2 linked regions of the Cricetulus griseus genome follow. The protein of the gene in region 2 purifies or fractionates together with the protein of the main gene of each other region. This does not show direct contact. Links are inferred from orthologs where the notes say so. Each region holds a gene or a part of one and is shown on either strand. Other genes may lie near its edges. The genes, in order: histone H2A.Z and Epc1.

What was found.
Region 1: the proteins of Epc1 (region 2) and histone H2A.Z purify together in Homo sapiens (affinity purification with mass spectrometry; 4 studies listed by BioGRID and IntAct, with this or other methods). This does not show direct contact. The link is inferred for Cricetulus griseus from reciprocal best matches to the Homo sapiens genes EPC1 and H2AZ1.

Annotation. Positions count from the first base shown.
Region 1 is NW_023276806.1:21,775,253-21,779,837, forward strand, and holds histone H2A.Z, read right to left. Parts: upstream 2,915-4,585; 5' UTR 2,761-2,914; coding exon 2,758-2,760; intron 2,283-2,757; coding exon 2,205-2,282; intron 1,895-2,204; coding exon 1,781-1,894; intron 1,418-1,780; coding exon 1,288-1,417; intron 1,028-1,287; coding exon 966-1,027; 3' UTR 588-965; downstream 1-587. UniProt on the Homo sapiens protein: Variant histone H2A which replaces conventional H2A in a subset of nucleosomes. Nucleosomes wrap and compact DNA into chromatin, limiting DNA accessibility to the cellular machineries which require DNA as a template.
Region 2 is NC_048596.1:208,105,993-208,109,805, reverse strand, and holds part of Epc1 (enhancer of polycomb homolog 1), read right to left. Parts: coding exon 3,724-3,813; intron 2,976-3,723; coding exon 2,769-2,975; intron 2,246-2,768; coding exon 2,097-2,245; intron 1,021-2,096; coding exon 861-1,020; intron 1-860. UniProt on the Homo sapiens protein: Component of the NuA4 histone acetyltransferase (HAT) complex, a multiprotein complex involved in transcriptional activation of select genes principally by acetylation of nucleosomal histones H4 and H2A.

The sequences.
Region 1 (4,585 bases), on a different chromosome or scaffold from region 2:
TCCCACTGCCCTGCCCTTTTCAGTGGCACTGCTGCCCAGCAGGTACAATATACACAGCTCTTTTGGCTAGTCAGCTGTAACTCTTGAGCAGGAAGCAGTTCTCTCATCTGCAGAGGTTGCATGCATACCACCTCCTGTTACCAATTTTTGCCTCAGAAAGGAGCACGCATGTTGTCTCGGTAGGGTGAAAGGGGCAGATGCGTTTTCTCAAGCTCTTAAGGAACATGCCTGATATGTATCAATGTTTTCATCATGTTACCCTAGTCTATGAAAATAGCACGCATCCCCTGTGACTAGCATTTCACAGTTGACAACAGTGTCTGGTCACTGAGAATGATTTAACTTCTACATCTTAAGTTCATTCTGTGGAGGTTATTATGTTATACCTGGGGGTCTCTACCGGTCCAGCTGTCCCAAATTGTGATACAGTGCCTTTCACAGTTACTGTGAATGTCCAACAGCATGCCTAGTTCATTATGACAAATTGGTTATGACTTGTTGGTCTACAGATGAAGTGTTTGATTAGTAAGCAAAGAAGGTAGGGGAGCTGAATGAGATCTAGTAGTAATCATCAAGCAAGTTTAAAACTAGTTTGGGATATGACCTTTATTGAGCTTATCCACCAGAGTGGAAATAATGTCTGTACAAAACCAAATGTTTGTTACTATAACTTCTGCATCACAATTAAAATCCAAACAGTTTTTTAAAAACAGTCAACTCAATCAAAACCCACTACTTCAGAATCAATAGCTTCTTTGAAGCCACAGTAACACTTAAATATGGTTAAGACTCGAATGCAGAAATTTGGTTGGCTGGAAGGCTAATTAAGCCTCCAACTTGCTCAAATAGAATTACAAAAAGGCAAAATTGTGTTTTTCACAGAGATACAGTCCACTGGAATCACCGACACTGGACAGCTGTTAAGAATATTTAGAGTCCTGAGATAATAAGGAATCCAGGCATCCTTAGACAGTCTTCTGTTGTCCTTTCTTTCCAATCAGAGATTTGTGGATGTGTGGGATGACACCTAGGAAAGTGACAAGGATTAATTCTACTTTTTGTAGAAACATTTTGAAACAGTACATGAAATCAAAGCAGGTAAATCTACAACTTGAAAGGTCTTAAAAAAAAATTCAAACATAAAGTAAAATGATGAATGATGTTGTGTAAACCAAATTCCATAAACCACCATGATTTATAAAATATATTTAAATGCCCTCTTCTGGAAGCAATGAAAATGTAGGAATTTTCTTATTGGAAAGTAACCGAGTGTCAGTGATAACATACCACCACCAGCAATTGTAGCCTTGATCAGAGAGTCCAATTCTTCATCCCCGCGAATAGCAAGTTGCAAGTGACGAGGGGTAATACGCTTTACCTTTAAGTCTTTTGATGCATTTCCTGCCAATTCTAGTACCTAAAAGGCAAAATTCTGATCAATTTTCCAATTCCCTTCAGTCAAGATCCAGGAAGCTGGCTAAACGTCAGTGGTGTTTAACCCACCAACTGTCGTCATCCCCCCACTACCTGAATGACAAAACTATGCAAATGATGCAAAGGACTGAAGGGGCACGCAATTGCTTTTGCAACAGCAGCAAACTCTGGCTCAGCGGGATCCTTGGCTGAACACTAGCTCCCTCTAGCGCCCTCTCTCTGCCTAAGCGCCGCGCTTAGGGCCTGGGAGTTTTCTTGCATCACTTTCCTCCTTCCCTCTCGCCCACTTTCCCCCCCCCGCCCCCCAAACCTTTTCCAGATCACAGGCATACTCACTCCCGCTTACCTCTGCGGTGAGGTACTCCAGGATGGCTGCGCTATACACAGCGGCGGTCGCGCCCACACGGCCGTGGCTGGTTGTCCTAGATTTCAGGTGTCGATGAATACGGCCCACAGGGAACTTGATTTTTTTTTATGCACACAAACAAAAATGCACAAAGATAGAGGAGATTCAGAGATGGAAAGATGATGCGCGCGCGCGCCAAAGCCAAGGACGGTGGTGCACCAAGGCGCCCGGGCAGTTAGCACACGCGATCGACGCCCCCCCCACCAGCCCCCGCCGCCCCAACATTCAGTCTCCGAAGGCCAAGTCGCGACACATCACCCACGCAAAAGATGGAACACCCATGCGAGGCGCCGACAAACAAGCCAGGGGGTGCAAAGATAAAGGCCGGGTCACCCGGGCTGCGTCTGCGGCAGCAGCTGCCTACCTGCAAGCCGGCTCTCTGCGAGCGGGAAACCGCCTTTGTCTTGGCCTTTCCGGAGTCCTTTCCAGCCTTACCGCCAGCCTGCGGCGCCGCCGACGCCCGCGAGCCCGGGAGGGACGGAGAGGATAGAATTACCAAGGCGGCGCGGAGCGGCGCGCCCCTCCCCCACGGCCGCGCGTCCCGGAGGCGGGCGAGCGAGCAGGCGGGCGGGCGGGCGGCGGGCGCGCGCTCGCGGCCCGCCGGGGTCTCCGGGCCGCCGCTCGCCCCCGCCCTCTCTCCCCGCCCGCCCGCCGACCCCCGCCGCGCGCCCCGCGCGCGCCCCGCGCCGGCTCCCAGCTGCGCCGCGCGCGCCCCCCTCCAACCGTCGCCTCCCTCCCGGAGCTCCGAGCTCAACCAAACACCTCCCTCCGCTCGTCCCCGACCCGTCTCCGCACGCTCCCGCCCGCCGCCGCCGCCTCGCCCAAGCCCCGGCGACGGCGGCCCCGCCCGCTCCAAGCCCGCAGCTCGCGGCCGCCGCCGCCCCCCGCCCGGCGGCCCGCCGTCACTCTCACGTTACCATCTCGGACCGTGCTGAAGATCGCACAAGCGAGCAAGAGACGAGGCCAGGCGGACGCACAGCGAGATCCCGGCGCCCACTCCTCCGTCGTACCGCGATTCAAACTGCGCCGTCTCCCGCCTTCCTCGCGCCCTTTATACCGCAGAATGTTCCCTCATCCGGGAACTCGGCTGGCTCGGCCCACCAATGGTCGCCGCCCGCCTTCGGGACGCGTCCTTGAGGCTCCGGCCAATGGGAGGGCGCGAAGCAGGGTGGTGGGGCGGGCGCTCGCGAGCTCGAGCCGTGATTGGCGCGCGAGGGGTGGGGAGGGGGAAGAGTGGGGGAGGCGGCGGGACGGGACCGGGAGGGGAAGGGCGCCGCGGCGGGAGGGCAGACACAGAGCCCTGCGCCACCGAGGAGGGAGCGCGGGCGAGCGCGAGAGCGGACGCGGGGTCACGTGCCTGGAGGGCGGGGCTGAGAGGCTGGGGACGGGCGCGCGGGCGTCCTCCCGCGGTGTGCGGGAGACCACGTGAGCTCGCCTCCCGGTCCAGCCTGGGCCTCGCAGCGTCCTCCGGTCGGCCTGGCCGTCCCCCCCCCCTCCCCGCAGACCTCGGTTCCCCGCGGGCCCCTCCTTTGTGACAGGTGGCGCGAAGGCCTCCAGTGAGAGGAGCTCGGCTCGGCCCGCACTTGCTGAAGCACTTCCCTGAGAGACCGTCTCTTACCCCCGCCGGAGGTTGTTTTTCATCTTCCTCCGCTCCGGTCCTCACCTCTTTTGACCGCCCCCCTCACCCTCCCATCCTGTCTCGTAACAACCGTGGGGGTCAAGTTACCTTGGTGATAACAAATAATTTTGTCTACACACAGGAAGCTCAGGATGAAGCGTTATTATAATGAAATCATCAGCCATAATTTTGCCGAGAGAGACTCCACATCAATGGGGATGCGCCTATAGCCTGGTGTCTAAAGTTGATTTATTGAATCATCAAAGCTATTATGTGTCAGCTTTCCGACACTAAACATTTTGCCACATGAAAAATGTTGGGTAAATGTCAGTGGGGTAACTGTAACATGATTCACAAGCAGCCACAGATGGTTCATGTAATCAATTACAAATGCCGGGCTTAAAAAAGAAAAAGTAGGACTGTACGTACACACGGTCCTGTCCTGATGCCAGTCACTTAGACGTGCAGTTAGCAGGTCGACAATCCCTGTGTACATCACTTAGCTGCTTGGAGACCATAATGATCTAAATCTTTCATATTTACAGTACTTAATGTTTAACTCTTTAAATAAGAAAAATTATTGTGTGGGTGGTTGCAGGTGCACATGCCATGAAGACTTTGTGGAAATCAGATGACAACCTGTGGAGTGGGCTCTCCCTCTCTCCACCTGTACATGGGTTGCAGGGATGGAACTCAAGCATGCTTACACAGCACTTTTACCCATGGAGTCATCACCAGCTCAACGGTACATTACACTTTTTATGTAATTGAATAGTAATGTGAAGAGAATTTTGAAGCATAAACTCTATATTTGGGCTTCAGTTTGAAATGTTTTATGAAATTTGAGGCCCTCTCTGGTGCCAGGAGATTAATGGCTAGAGGAGAGGCTCCCAGCAGTTTTGATGCCATGGCTTATTGGAACTAAAGAATTATAGTGATGCCATCATATGATGACAATTAAAAAAAAAAAACTGTGAATCTACAATCCCAGCACTTAGTAGGCTGCATCAGGAGAATCACACACGGAAAGCCTGTCAAAACTAAACACAGATTCTATTTCAAAAACTGTGGCAGCCCACACTGGTACCCTTACACCATTAATTCTAGCACTAGGGAGGCAGAGGCAG
Region 2 (3,813 bases):
TTCTCTGTTCAAAACAAACATACGCTTAAAAGACTTTAAAAAAGTGTGTGTATGTGTGTATATGCATGTAGGTGCCTTCAAGGCCAGATAATTATCAGGTCACCTGAATTGGAACTACAGAGTTGTAAAGCATCTGATATAGGTGCTGGGAACTAAACCCAGGTCCTCTGTAAGAGCAGTGTGCTCTAATTGCTGACCCATCTCTCCAGCCCAACAACAAAAAAATTTAAATGAAAATTAAAGTTAAAAAATGCTCAAGATAACAGGAATATTCCATTAATTACTCTGTCTTCCCCCCCACCCCCCATTTCCGAGACAGGGTTTCTCTGTTTAGGCCTGGCTGTACTGGAACTCACTCTGTGGACCAGGCTGGCATCAAACTCAATAGATCTGCCTGTCTCTGCCTCCCAAGTGCTGGGATTAAAGATGTGCGACACCACCACCCTGCCATAATTACTCTGTCTTAATGGTAAACCAGATCCAAATATATGGCTCATGTTTCTGGAACATACAGAAAGAAAACAATGTTGTGTAATTAGAATCTGAGTTAAATCCTGAAATATAAAAATCAAAGATTTCTGAAGTGATCTGTAAGGCCACACATTTCAGACAGGTGGACCACAGACTTCAATATTAAAACGAGGGGAAAAAAATCCCATTAAAATTTTAGTGCATCTCATATCCCCTATTAGCAAAGCCCTCCTTTATCAGACCCAGAACAAGGCCTTTCCTGGTCTTGTGGGGCAGTAAGAGAAGGAGGAATGAAACTGTCAGGAAAAGCTAGTTTTCTTTCCACCTTGCAGTAGAATTTACTTATTTCTCCTGTTTACTGGATGCTACTGTTACCAAGCCCTAATCACCTTATGAACTTTGAACTCCTTCCCATCCGTGACCTCCTGGTGTTTGAACTGACTGCTGTTAGTGATGGGGATGATGGGAATGGCGTACGTAGGCTTCACCGGCTGTCTCTGTGCCATGACCTCAGACATGATCTCTCCACTGTAGTCACCTAAATTATATCTGAAATGAGAGAGAGGAAACTTAAGCTGTACGTAGAATACAATGAGATGCTTCCATAAACACTGAGAATTCAACATCCACCTCCCCAGTCACCTCATGTGCCTATTGCTGGTGGAGGGGCGGGGCGCATAAACTACTTAAGAGCTACTTTTTTTCTGAGACATGTATCCTAGGCTGCTTCCAACATGCTATGTACTCAGTGTGACACTGAATGCAGATGGGTGGTTTGCCTGTATGCATGTCTGTGTACCATGTGTGTACCTTGCCCAGGGAGGCCAGAGAGGATGCTGGATCCTTGGGAACTAAACTTACATACAGAAGGTAGTGAGATGTCATGAAGGTGCTGGGAATCAAACCCAGGTCCTTTGGAAGAGCAGCCAGAGCTCAACCTTGGAGCCTTTAAAGTCTCTGCCTTGAACTTTTGATCTTCTCGTCTCTACCACTTCCTACAGTTGTGAGTCACCACACCTGGATCATCTGGTGCTGGGCCCTGTAATCTTATCTTGGAACACAGTGACTGAGAGGCAAGATCCTAAGGCTGAGATGCCTCAAGTAGTGTCAAGGGACCTCCGCTAATTAGGGCTGTCTGTGCTACAAAACTATTTTTTTCCCTGAAAGAATCATAAGAAATTTAAGTGTGTGTGTGTGTGTGTGTGAACCTGGAGCTTTCATTCTCTTCCTCAACAAGTGTGTTAAAATTTATGCACATCTGGTGCTTAGCAACATGCTTGCCTACAGTGTGCAAGGCCCTGGGTTTCATCTCTAGTACTAAAAATCTCCCACAAACCTACAAAACACCCCAAATAAACAACCAGTATTCAACATGAACCCCTTCACACTGCCTCAAACTGCCACAGAAAGAACTCAAAAGAACAAAAGAATTTCTCAGTAGAAACACCTGATACATTTCTTAGTGAGCCCAATCACTTTGAGAAAATAAGACAGAATTGTGAATATCATTTCACAACGTTCAACCACAGTCTGTTACTAAAGAAACTATTTCTGTGATTACAGATAAGTAGGAAATACACAGGCTGTGACTGGCAGCAGTCCTAGCATATAAGCACAAGGGTCACCTCTTTTCCATAATTTCCAGTGTCAGGTGCAGTAGCTCCCGTTTGCTCTTCTCCCTTCTCTTTATCATCTCCAGGATAGTCACAGCCCGGCTGAGATCCCGACGCAGCTTAAGCATTTTTTCATATGAGGCTTCATCATTTTTGCGATTCTGAAAATATAAAGTTTTGCTTAACTTCAAGAAGCAATTCTAACAAGGTGCAGATAAGAATGTATGCATTTGCAGGGTTACAGTTTAAAGACACAGGAAGGGAACATATATTAATTTGTACTATTAAGGCCCTCATAAAAACTAAAGGTCAACTTATTTTAATATTTTCCATTGTAATTAAAAGGTCTCTCTCTCTCTCTCTCTCTCTCTCTCTCTCTCTCTCTCTCTCTCTCCTCTCTCTCTCTGTGTGTGTGTGTGTGTGTGTGTGTGTGTGTGTGTGTGTGTGTGTGTGTGTGTGTATACAGTGGCCAGAAAGGAGTGGCACTGAATACTTTGGAGCAGGAGTCACAGGTGTCTGATATGGGTACCAGAATCATAACACTGTCCTCTGATAGAGAAATAAGTGCTCTGAACCACTGGGCAACCCCTCTAGTATAATTTTAAGGACTGTTATATGAAAGCACAGATTAAGTCATAAAATTAAGAACTACAATTTTTCTTAAAAATGTAAAAATTCACTTACTTTTCGAGTTTGCATTTTTTCAGTTCGTCTTCTAAAAGCCACGTAAGGATCATTTGTGCTAGAACCGTCTCGCTTTTCCTGTTTTACCGATGGGATAAGTGATGGCCCTCGACAGTTTTTCCTCTTTTTAATCCAGTATTCATAAACTTCTCTAATTAACTCATCATCTTCTTTTAGTAGTAGTTTGGCTTCCTGCAGACTGACTGGCTAAATGTAAAACCATTATGTCACTTTCATAAAATACATATACAAGGACTCAAAACCATTCTTCATTTAAATAACAACAATCAAGCCAACAATAGTATTGACAGAATGTTTTAAACAGGGTTAGTCTTGAACTTGTGAGGATGACCTAGAACTTCCGATCTTCCTACCACCTCCTAAGTGCTGAGTGTACATCACCACACTTGGTTTACATGGGACTGGGGAGCAAGCCCAATGTGCACGCTAGGCAGGTATTGTACTAATTGAGCCCCATCTCCAGCCCTAGTGCGTTCAACGATCTTTACAACGATCAAATTTCACAGAGCATACAGTTTGCTGTATTTCCTGACGGTAGGACTTGATATTAGTAATATTTTACCTGCTCACCAAATACACAAATGGCAGTTGAAGACTTTTTTGTTTATTATTGTTTTGGAGACAGGGTCTTACCATGTAGCCTTGGCTGACCTTTAACTCACCGAGATCCACCCACCTGTCTCTGCCTTCCAAGTGGTAGGATCAAAAGTGATCAACACATCACCTCCAGTCTATTATTTTATCTCAACATACAGCTGGGGTGACGGAGGCACAAAAAACTCAAATATACTGCTCAAAATGATACAGGATAACACAAGGAGATGTAAATTCATGCTTTCAGTTCCGGAGTCTGCTGGCTCATCCCTCCTCAACACTGCATGATTTCACATAATATAGGCATTATTATAATAGACATACAGAAATGAAGTTGTACCTGCTGACCACTGCCTTTTTCCAGACGGTCAATCATCTCCTCAAATTGCAATGGGCAGATGTCCATTTTCTTCTTCAGTTTATTCACAAA